Struthio camelus: one gene and its partners. The main gene of each other region encodes a partner of the protein of the gene in region 3 in a complex. Links are inferred from orthologs where the notes say so. Each region holds a gene or a part of one and is shown on either strand. Other genes may lie near its edges.

The links.
Region 1: the proteins of PTPRG (region 3) and CNTN6 are in contact, whole or in part, in a crystal structure (PDB 5E5U), measured with the Mus musculus proteins. The link is inferred for Struthio camelus from reciprocal best matches to the Homo sapiens genes PTPRG and CNTN6. Residues at the interface, in NP_033007.2 of Mus musculus: Val225, His226, His227, Lys229, Phe288, Thr290, Gln292, Gln293, Asp294, His295, Val296, Lys297, Ser298, Val299, Glu300, Tyr301; in NP_059079.2 of Mus musculus: Arg129, Val132, Arg135, Gln138, Gly139, Val140, Val141, Leu142, Leu143, Cys144, Gly145, Met222, Gly223, Tyr225, Glu226, Pro227, Lys228, Glu230, Leu252, Asn306.
Region 2: the proteins of PTPRG (region 3) and contactin-4 are in contact, whole or in part, in a crystal structure (PDB 3KLD), measured with the Mus musculus proteins. The link is inferred for Struthio camelus from reciprocal best matches to the Homo sapiens genes PTPRG and CNTN4. Residues at the interface, in NP_033007.2 of Mus musculus: Lys222, Val225, His226, His227, Lys229, Phe288, Thr290, Gln293, Asp294, His295, Val296, Lys297, Ser298, Val299, Glu300, Tyr301; in NP_001103219.1 of Mus musculus: Thr128, Arg129, Ser130, Val132, Ser133, Arg135, Gln138, Gly139, Met140, Val141, Leu142, Leu143, Cys144, Gly145, Val219, Met220, Gly221, Glu222, Tyr223, Glu224, Pro225, Lys226, Glu228, Leu250, Asn304.

The regions. Positions count from the first base shown.
Region 1 is NC_090955.1:4,036,105-4,039,848, forward strand, and holds the start of CNTN6 (contactin-6), read right to left. Parts: upstream 2,706-3,744; 5' UTR 2,158-2,705; intron 1-2,157. UniProt on the Homo sapiens protein: Contactins mediate cell surface interactions during nervous system development. Participates in oligodendrocytes generation by acting as a ligand of NOTCH1.
Region 2 is NC_090955.1:3,629,037-3,632,780, forward strand, and holds the start of contactin-4, read right to left. Parts: upstream 2,929-3,744; 5' UTR 2,914-2,928; intron 1-2,913. UniProt on the Homo sapiens protein: Contactins mediate cell surface interactions during nervous system development. Has some neurite outgrowth-promoting activity. May be involved in synaptogenesis.
Region 3 is NC_090955.1:11,522,537-11,526,280, reverse strand, and holds the start of PTPRG (receptor-type tyrosine-protein phosphatase gamma), read right to left. Parts: upstream 2,625-3,744; 5' UTR 2,595-2,624; intron 2,013-2,594; exon of another isoform or gene 1,933-2,012; intron 1,829-1,932; 5' UTR 1,797-1,828; coding exon 1,712-1,796; intron 1-1,711.

The DNA.
Region 1 (3,744 bases), about 7.5 Mb from region 3:
CTTTGGTAAGAAAGAACAAAGGACTTCTTGAGACAGTCTTTTTGGTGCTCAGTCTCTTAAAGAGAGTTCCACTTTTAAGCTTGCTTCTCTGTGGCAATTCAGGAGGGTCTGGCTGCACCTGAGGGGCAAAGTCAGCGTGTTTGAGCACTGACTCTGGGCAGCATAGTAGAATTAAGACTTTTTTTAAATTTCCATTTCCCTGAGCAAGCCTTCCATCAGGAAGGTGTGCAGCATTTAACTGACCTCTGGCCGAGGGTTGGTAGAAGGGGATCTGTGGCAATTCTCTTGAAAAAATTCAGTCGAGATTTTAAGCAAAGGGAATGTTCTTCTGTAGTAGCATGCAGTTAATACAGTTCAAAAAAATATATAGCCTTGAAAGCCATTTTGAAGAGCTGATGTATTTCTGTATACCCACAATACAGGGACAAATATTCTTCTAACGAAAATTTTCTGTTCAAATACAAATAGTGTTTCATACCTGCATAATGCAAACATACAACTTTCTATTTCGAGTCTCCTTTGGGATGTTGGCACCTTGTTTTGTGATAGAAATATTTGCTTCAGTAACAAGAAATTAATTTTAGGGTAGCTTATTATGCTACCCTGTGCATTTTAATACTGATTGTAAAGCTGAAAGAAAAGGAAAAGAGACGTCTTCTCTTTGATTTAAAGCACTTAACTTGTTATATATTATTTAAGAGTTTATCCTCAGCATGAAAGGTAACACCTCTAATGCATGACCATCAGTACCTCACCAGCATTTGAAAACTATGGTTGCATATATTGGTATATTTTATTTTTCTTTTTTACACAATAAAATGTGATATATGATAGTTGCTAACTTCATATAGGTACTGATTTGGGACTTTTTAGTGTCATAAAACCTCTGAAGCAGAGGCTCATGGAACATGAAACACTGACATAGTGCCTCTGGAGCACCAGAGCCAAAGCTGGCTGATGAAGATATGTTATTTGTGTTGCTGTGGTGCTTGGAATTACAAGCGCTGCAGGGTTTATTTTCTCTGTCACACACACACACAGTGTCGTGCACACACACACACAGGACTTGCAGAACTTTTTCAAATGTTGGAAGTAGAAGGAAGTAGTCTGGCAGTCCTCCCCTCTTGAGTGGGGCGGAGAAGGAAAAGAAGGGGAAGAAAAACAAGAAAAGGCTACCGTAAAGAATTGAATAATCTGCTTTTGCCTCTTAATTTTTATCTGTGAATTGTTGCAATGTCAAAAAAAGGACAAGTAACTGTTATTTAAATAGGCTGCATAGTGTCTGCTTCTTGTTTAATCATCCAAATACATAAGTACTCTGTGAGTGCTGCAGGAAACGGTTTAGCATTCAGCCTGATTGTTTACAGGCTGTGAGAGGGGACCCTTTATACACGTAACAACTGTCTGAATGCAAGCATACACCCAGGAAGCACTATGGGAGTATATAATTTAACATAAAGCACTAGTCAAACAGTTGCTTGTTTCCTGGAACCACAAACTTTCAAAACTTTTTATAAAGTATTATGTTTCCTTTAAAGCTGTGTCATACACTATAAATAAATGACAACACCAAACCTAGAACTACTTTGCAAATCTTTGGATTTGCAAATCTTTGCGAAAGCGAAGTTCAGTATATGTTGTAACCTTTTTTTCCTTTTTAATTGTTAAGATAAGCAACAAGGGAAGCTTTCTTCAAGGACATAACTTAAATTTTCTGGAAATTTGCATTTATTGCCTTTACACCTTCAGATGGTAGAAATTAGACGACTGTCATAACCCACTTCATTTTTTAATATGCAGTACAAAGTCATATGAAAGTGCCAAAATTAGCACTGTCATCTTCTGTGTTGTCCGTTTTACTGCAGCACAGAGCTGTGATATACTCAAAAAATATACCTGTAGTGTCTGTTACTAGCACAGTCTCCAGTAATGTTTGACTCAAACCTCACATGCATACAAATTCATTACATTCTCCTCTTGCAAGAATAAATACATTTGGAGCATCAGCAATTTATAGAAACACAGCATAAATAAAGCAGTGAATTTTCTGCATTCTCCATCCCTTATGCTAATGAAAATTACTGAGGAAAAAAAATAGAAAATGCAGCTCCCCCAGCATTATTCATATTGCAGTAGACAGCACAATTCTGTACTTACAGATCTGAACAGTGAAATGTCTCAGGATCTTTACAATTTTCTGCAGAACTGTTTGAAGCTCTCAGCAAGCCACAGTGTTCATCGAGGCAGAACGGAGCCGTATGGAATGTCTATGCAGCTGGGAGATAATGGAACTATTTTCCCAGCTGGGACTACAAGCCTTTTATCCACTGAGCATTGCGTGTCTCTTCTCTGGTATTAACCATGAAATACACGGCTTTCCCGCTGTATTCGTGATAGGACCCGCACAATTAGTGCTTGAATCAGATACACAGAGCTGCTACAGTTTATGAATATTGCTATCTAGAAATCTTGAATGTATAAAAATTAGCTCTGTACTAATCATCCTTCAAGCAGGCTGAGAGAGCAAAAGCACAGCTGTCATACTAGTAGCATAAAAGATTAAATGTGCTCTTACTATTCTTTTCATACCAATATGAGCTCCTGTCAGGTAATCAGAAAACCTATCTTCTTGAAAACTGGGGCACCACTCAGGTTTAGAACAGGAATGGGAATAATTTTGTTTGGTTCTTGGTCCCATATTTGCTTCATGCACTCCATGAAATTAAGCTCATAGGATGCAAGTTGACACTCAGATTATATTCCAGCACTGACTGTACTCCTGAAACATTGTAACTACCCCTTCTATGTTTTGCATATTAAATAAAGAAGGAAAGGCTTGCTTGTCTAAAGTAGCACAGACATAAATCCTGATTGCACGTAAACTTCAAACCGTAGATTTCCACTGTTCCTCTTGGGATTGCTTCAGCGAGATCAAATGCAAAGTGCAGACGAGGGAATGCCTTTCCCTTAGTAAGCAGAAGTTATTTGTATTCACAGGGGTGGGAAGTGGAAACAGCAGTTTTCAGAATGGTTCTGCCAAGAAACGTGCAATTAGGTCGCAGGCATTGCTTCACCACATTTTAATGTAATCTCAATGTAAATCCATTAGTTTGTAATGGGATTAATTGCATGGCTGTCTGAACAATGGCAAGTTGAGAGGAAGTGGAAGTCAGGTGGCAAAAACACACACAGAGGCAAGCATACATGTTAAATAGACCAAAATAAGAATTCAGAAAAAGAAATAAGAGCAGTGTGTATCTTCTTTAGCTAGTTTGAATTTACCCCACCTATAAACGTGGAGCGGTTCAGCAGATCTCCTCGGTTTCCAGCATAACTGCTGATTTCAGGGAGCTTGCACCAGGAGTTTAAAGTGTTCGCATACCTATTCCCATGTTGCCTCAATGGCCCTGCTGCAGTACCGATCATTTCAGGCCGCCTCCTCCCTCTCCCCACTGTAGTGTGGACATGCTGCAGCGTAATGGCTCATTCCTCTGCGTCTGAGCATTTGTGCTTTGTCCTCAGCCAGTCGTTAGCCCGCCCAGAGGGATTGCTGGCAATGATAAGTTTACTTTTACTTGAGATGGCTATTTGGTTAAGACACCTTTGAAGAATGATGAAATAACTGTAGCAGAAGAGAAGGTGAAGTGATGGTCTCTCCGAAAAGTAGAGAGCACATGCTTGGAGGAGGTTTCTATCATTTGTCCGCAGGGGAAGAACAGTTCATTGGATGCAGCCTGATTTAAG
Region 2 (3,744 bases), about 7.9 Mb from region 3:
GGTTTTTCTTCATGTGGAATAATACAGTAAGTTTATCACTTACCTTACTTTAGTCCACAAACCAATATATCTACATTGTAGTTAGATTCCTGAACAAAAATCCTAATTTACATCGCAGAGTCAAAACTTGCTCCTTATGCTTTGCGTCCTACATATGAATTATGCATTTGGATTATGAGATCACTAGATTAGTTGTTTTTCAAAAGCTTTGACCCTGCTGGTCCTGAAGGTCTGGCTTCCAGTGATTTAACCCAGCAATTCAAAACCAATCTTTCTTTTTCTTGGTGTCATGCTGAAACAGATTTTTATCCTGGAGATTAAGATAAAAAGTGACTGCTTGTATCTAGGGAAAAGCAAAGAATGAAGTTATTTCCCCGAGTCCAACATATACAGTACGGTAAACACTGTCTGGTGTAGAAAATACTGTTGTCCTCGTTCATAATGAATTGTGAACCTTGTTTATACTAAGACTGTAAGTAGATTTGGCAAAAGAATTTTTTGTTTTAATATTGCCATTTTTGGTGCATGATTGTAGGGGACAGGGAATAGTTATGTACTTTCATGAAACATTAAATCGGCTAGATGTCATCATTATGTATTATTTGCTTTGCTAATAATAAAAAGAATGAATCACTACTGTCATGATATACATATTTATATTTGAGTAACCATTGTAGCAGGTAACAGCAAAGATGTGTGCAAGTTTAAATCTTGGCAGCACGCCTAGATTAGAGCTTCAAAGTTGACATTTTGTGGATTTCATGTGATTCATGTTACTTTTCTGTGTTTGTGATTACCTTCCTGTCAGGGACTGGGCATCACTCATGCAGCAATAAGCAGACTACAATTTCTGTATTTGAAGGCAAATTCCCAACTGTTGCACCAAATGCTGTTCCAAATTAGCCCCGTTTTCTGTATAAGACAAGGTCTGAATAACAGATCACAAGCAAAATCAGAACGAGTACATAAACAGCTTTTACAGGGACGTTATCAGGTCAATTTAGGCCAGAGACGTAGGTTCGGGAAGAAAACCCAGACTCGCTCTAATCTAACATCACTAAAAATAGACTGTGATGATTTATGAACTTTCAAACACAGCAGAGTATTTTTAGGCAACAGAGTTTTTTGCAATGTTTGCAGCAGCCCAAGAACGGCAGCGCTGCGATAGCGGGGCTGCGTCTTCCCGGGGTGCAGGGTGGGCTGCACATTGCGACAGCTGCGCCAACCTGCAACTCGGATGGAGACGAGCCACTGCCAGATTTTCCTTCCCTAATGCTTAACGCATGCAAAATTCAGCAAGACCAAGAGGAGGAAAAAAAAAAAAAAAAAAAAAAGCTCAGCAATGGTCTAGCTATCTTGTGGTTATTACCCTCCCTCCAGCTTTGCCTTGTCTTTACTTCTGATCTTTTTTAATCACGCAAACTACACAGATCTGCCAAAGCCGATCCCTAGAATCAAGTGAAATCAATTACCTGGGAGCAGAACCTCTACCAAATTATTCTGAAGTTCCACATCTGTGGTAGAAATTGTAGAGGAGATCAACAACTACACAAGTTTCCGAGGTGTCACTGATAAGGTAACACATGTGTGTGTTGTAAATCGAGGAAATTTTAATCCCACTAAACTGTAAGGGCTGCGAATCAGAGCTCAACGGCAACGAGAAGCCCTTCTCGACAGGGAGGAGACGGGAGCTCGGACCGGGCGCTCGCGCCCAGGCCCCGCGCAGCAGCCCCCTCGCCCGCAGCCCCGGGGTTTCTGTCTCTAGAACAACTGCTTCTCAGCCGACAGGTAAAAACCAGCATTCGGGAAACAAACAAGGAGGGATTAACGCTAGAAATAGGGAACCGACCACGGCGAAGGGTGGCTCAAATCTCAAAGACCTGCTGTCCTGCGGCGCCGTCCGCCGCCTCCCGGGAAGGTGCTGGGGAGCAGCACGAGCAATGCACAACCGCACCGGCTGCATAAACTTAGGGTTAAAAGGAAACGTCATTTTATCACGTTTAGGGTTTGCATGCTAAGGTAAAAGTCAGGCTTTTTAGAAGCAAAGGAAAGCTTTTCCTCTGCGGTCATTCCCATTGAAAACACAAGTATCTTCATCAGTTAGGACACCGCGAGCTTCGAAGTCTCGGCAGACTAGCTGCCTAGAGGAGAGCTCGCTCCCAAGTTAACTGCGGAGGAAAAGCCGGGAACGCTTTCTGCCCGCCTGAGTTTTGCCAGGATGGTTCGGCTCCAGCTCCGGGCAGCCGCCCCCGCGCAGCGCGGCGGTCGCTACCGCGCACCAGGGGAAGGCTCCGGTGCGGCTTCCCGCGAAGGCGCAGCTCCCTCGCCGCAAAGGGGCTGAAACCAGCCCAAACGCCCGCGGCGGCGCTTCGGTGCGGCCGGGCAGCGAGGCGGGGGGGGGCCGCTCGGCGCGCACCCCTCGGCGGGGCCGCCAGCCGGCGCTTTGGGCGGCCGGTCCGAGGCGGCGGGGAGGGGGGTTATTCCGGGGCCATTTAAGCAGTTCGCGGGGGCTCGCAAACGCAGCGCTCCGCCGGCGCGCAGCCCCGAGCCCCGCGGGCCGCGGCCGCCCAGCGCTCCCCGCCGAGGGGACGCGCAGCCCGGCCCTCCGCAGCCCCCCGCGGAAACCCGCGGAGCGCCCCCGCGGCGGGGCTTGCGCGGCAGCGCGGGCTGCAAGCGAAAAGTTATGCGCGCCCGCGGGAGCCGGCGGGCGCTGCGCGGCCCCCCCCCCCCCCGGCTGCCCGGGCCGCGCCGCCCCGCGGCCGCCCGCGCAGCGCCCCGCGCTCTCCTGCCCGCCTCGCCTGGCTGCGAGCGGTCCCCTCCTTTCCTCATTCATTCCCAGTTCTGTCCCTCTCCTCCTCTTCTTGTCGCCCCCCCGCCCGGGCCCGGGGAAGAGCGGCGCGGAGCGGCGCTTACCTGGGCGGGGCGGGGCGGGGGGCGCGCGGGGCCCCGCGGGGCGGGCGCGGCTGCCCGCGGTGCCGAGGTGCGCGGCCGCCCGCAGCAGCCCGCGGCCGCAGCATTGAGCGTCAGCGGCCGGGAGCCGGGCGGGCGCCGCGCAAGATCCCACCCCCCAAACCTGCGCCGTGCGCGGGGGGCGGGCGCGGGGCCGCGGGGGAGCCGCCGCCCCGCGCCCTCCCCCGCGCGGCCCTGCGCGCTGCCGGGGCCGCTCTGGCCGCGGGGGTGCGGGCGGCCCCGCCTCGGTGCCGAAGGTCTGGACCCCCCCCCCCCCGCCCCCGCTTATGTTTTCCGTTTTGACTCGGGAGGTTTCGGGTGGAGGCGCGTTGCCGTGTTTGCGCCCCGAGGCTGCGGCGGCCGGCGGGTCCCCTCGGGGCAGGAGCTTCCCACCTCTCTCCTTCCCCCCTCTTCAGCAGCCCCAGGCCCGCGGGCAGGAGACCCCAGGCTCCTAAATTACAGCTCTGGGCTTTTTTTCTTTCTTCCCCCCCCCCCCTTCTCTCCCCCGTGTCCGTGTTGGCCTCCGGCACTCACCCCCGCCCCGGCCCCCCGGCCCCCGGGAAGCGCATCCCGCTCGCCCTCGGCCTCTCAGGGCTCCTTCGCTCCGGACCCTCCCGTCCCCGTCCTGATCCCCCTGGCGGAGAGGGGCTCGCTCGGGGAGAGCGGAGGGCCAGCCGGGCGCCGGGCCTCGGCGCGGGGGCCGACGTCCGCAGCTGGGACGTCTCTCGGGGAGGCTCGTGAGGGCCCTCGCTACGCCTCGTGCCTACTGCAACGTGCGTAACTGCCTCGGCAGTC
Region 3 (3,744 bases):
AACCGAGGTCTTAACGCGGCCGCTCCGCGGGAAAGCTAAAGGCGCGAAAGCCCCTTCCTGGGAAATAAGCTGGCTTCTCCGAGCCATCCCGCCCGGCGGCTGACGGCCCCCCCCCCCCCCCCCCCCCGGGGAGACGTTCCCCGAGCGTCGCCCGGTTGCTTGGCGGCTCCCTGCCGGGCTTCAGGAGTCGACCCACGGCGGGGGGCAACTCCCGCCGCCCCTCCGGCCGCGTCGCCAACGGCCCCGGCGTGGCAGCGGGGCGCCCGGCACGTTGCGCCGGCCCGGCCGGCCGCTCCCAGGGGTCGTTACGGCGCCGCACGCCTCAGGGCCGGAGCGAACGGCCTCGCTCCCCGGCCCGCAACGCAGAAGGAAATCAAGGCAAAGAGGAGAAACGTTTCTCCAAGGGCGGCAGAGCCGTTAACCCCCCCGCCAGCGGGGGCTGGCTCGGCCGCCAACCGCGCGAGGGGCCGAGAAGTTGCTGGAAGGAGCGGGATGCGACGGGGCTACCTCTGCGCTCCGGGTTTGGGGCGGGGGGGGGATAAAAAAAATTGAGTAAAAAAAAAAAAATAAAGCGGTGTAATTTTTAAGGACGGAGCGGGGAGTTTCTGCGGAGCTCCCCCAGGGCTGCGCTCCCCTCCCTCCCCGCGGCGCCGCCGGGAAGCGGCCGGCGCGGCCCCCGCCCAGGCCGCGCCTCAGGCGACTTCCCCCGCCCGCGGCCCCCCACAGCCGGGGCCCCCCGATCTGAGCGGGGTGGTGGGGGGCGGGAGGGGCAAACTCGGGCGAAAGGAGGCGCGGAGGCTGCGCGCGGGCGGAGGGGCGGCGGGGGCGCGCGGAGCGGCGCGGCGCAGCGCGGCCCCGCGGGGGCGCCGGCAGGGCGGCAGCGCCCCTGGCGGACGGGCGGCGGCACCGCGGCGGCGGCCCGGGTTGGGGGGGGGGGTGCAGCCCGGAGCCCGGCAACTTCCCCCGGGCCGCGCCGTGGGGGGGGACACGACACGGTCACGTCGCGCGGTGGTGGGGGGAGCTCCTAGCCGGCCCCGTCGCGCGGGGGGGGGGGTTCGCGGCGCGGAGGGACCGGCGGTGGGGAGCGGGGCGCCGGGTGGCCCCCCACGCGCCGGCATCGCGCCCTCGCCGCGGGTGGCAGTGGAGAGGAGAGCGTGCACGGACGGCACACGTACCCCCGTCCCGTGTCCCCCTCCCTCCTCCACCAAGGTCAGCGCGCCGGCACGGCGCGGCACCCGGGCGGACACGCGTGGTGGTGGTAGTGGTAGGAGACCCGCGCACTCCTCAATTGCCTCTTACGCGGGGGTTTTGCAGAAACGGGCGAGGGCGCGGAGCCGACGGCTGGAGCCAGTCCCGAGGCACAAAGGCAACTCCCCCCCCTCAACGGCCCCACGCAGCCCCGCGCCCGAGGGGCAGCGGTCCGGGACCCGCCGCCCCACGCTGAGGGCTGCAATGCACCGCGCCCGGGTGACACCGCGCCGGCTGCACGGAGCCGAGCTCCCGCACCGCGCACGGCCCCACTCGCGGCACCGCTGCCCCTGCTTTAGGGCGCGAGGTAAAAGCACCGGCCACCCCCTCCCCGCGCAAAAAGCTAGCGGGGCCCCCCGCGGCCGCAAGCACAGCCCCGCGCCCACAGGGGTCGCGGACACGCGTGACGGCAGCGCCGGGACCCCCCCCCTTCCTCCGGCGCCCACCGCCCGCGCGCACTCACCGGGGAAGCACACCACATCATGGAGCACGGAGCTGGTGATTTTCAAGAAAAAGATCCACCAACACGGTTGCAGTAGCCTCCGCATGTCCAAAGCCGCACATCGAAAGGGGAGAGGGGCTAAAATAATTAATTTAAAAAAAAAAAAAAACTTGTTGAAAATAAGTTTCTCCCCCCAAACACCCCCCTCTCCCTGCGGGAGACAGCGGGGGGCTTCTGCTCACCTCCGTTTAAAAAAAAAAAAAAAGGAAGAAGAAGAATGAAAAATAAACGCCGGAGCCGGGGCGGGGGGGAGCGCGGGGCGCCGCGCGGGGGCGGGCGGCGGCGGGCGCGGGGCGCGCGGCTCAGGCGGGCGGCGGGCGCGGGGCGCGCGGCATGCCGCGGACGGGGCGCTCAGAGCCGCCTCCGCGCGCGGGCGGGCGGGCGGTGGCGGTCAGCCGGGGCCCCGGCGCGCTCCATCCTGCCGTACAGGAAGTGGCGGGCGAGCCCGGATCCTGGCGGAGACTTTAAAGCGGGGCGAGGGAGCGGGAGAGGCAGCGCGGCGAGGCGGCAGCGGCAGCAGGAGTGGCGGCGGCGGCGCGCCGGGCGCCCCGGCGGCGCGCCCCCGCCGCCCTTAAAGCGGCCGCGGAGGAGGCGGCAGCGGCGTGCGCGCGCGCGGCGGGTTTGGGATGGTGGCGGCGGCGGCGGCGGGGGGAGCCGCTGGTGCACGCGCGTGCGCGCACCCGCACCGCTGCCCTGCCACCGGGGCCCCGCCGCGCACCGCCCCTTTCGCCGGCGCTGCCGGGCGGGGGGGCGCGCTGCCTCCGGCGGGGGTGGGTTTGGGGGAGAACGCGCGGCCGAGCCGAGAGCGTTTTGCCGTTTGTAACGTCGCATTTTGCACTCTTACCTCGCTGCCGCCTGTTGGAAGTTACTCGCGTCCTCACGCCGCACCGTGCGTGCTGCGGGGGGGGGGGGTTGCTTTCGGGTCCCCCCCACCCCTCCCCCAGTAGCGTGCATCGTTCTGCCTGTTGCTAGAGGTCCCTCACAAAATCCTGTGTTGTGGTTTATTTTCCCCCCCAATATCGCATATCGTGCTGGGGATTGCCAGAGATCGCCCACAAAACCACAGCCGTCCCGTCCCGCCCCCCCCACTACTGTACATCCTACGAGGCATTTCCAGCGTTCCCCCACGAAACGAGGTAGCCGCCTGGTTTTTTGGCGGCATCAGGTGAAGCTTGGCCCAAGGCGCTCTGCAACCAAATCTTGATCCGCATCTCCCCCCCCCCCCACCGCCCCACAGCAGTTTCCGAGTGATTGATAACTTTGCACAGGAAACAGAAACAGAAAATGGTGTGAATTCAGGATGAAGGGATGGTTGCTCCTACTTGGCGTTTCCTGGCGGTGCTGTGCTCTGCTGAAGCTTAAATTTCATTCTGAAGTAGTTTTTGTCTGTTTCTTTGCTAATTATTTTCATTACAGGGATCCTGTTTCAGAAGGGAAAGGCTTTAGCAGGGGTTTAGCAGAGCGTGCCGGGCTCAGGTCTGGCTCTGTGGTTTGCTGCGATGTCTCCGCTCTGTTTACCTGCTGACTTCCCACATCTGTGGATTGTTTCCAGATGAAAGAGGGGAGATGGGGGGCAGGAGGAGGAAATTCAGAAGCCGCCTTTATTTTCCCAGGTGACTGGAGTGGCAGCGATTGTGCCTGCCCCTCCCAGGGATCGCTAGAGCGGAGCCCTGCCAGGCTTGAATACGTGTCGCCGCTGCACCCTGACTCCTCTGGAGGAGGAGGAGGAGGAGGAGGTTGTGTGTCCATCCAAGTTTGCCCCACGCAGCACAGGGTGCCAAATCCCTGGACTACACTGCAAGCCCGAAGGCCCCTAGTTAGGAAGCACTGCTTTTTCGTAGGCTTCCCTTCACCTTCCTCTGCGCACCCCAGCTTTTGCCTGCCAAAAATCACAGCTGGAAGGTAAGAGTGCAGTCTTTACCAAGCAAAACTCTGTCTATCATGATAGGATTTTACCAGTGTAAGGATTAAAGGGCCTGATGAGATGTTCTGCC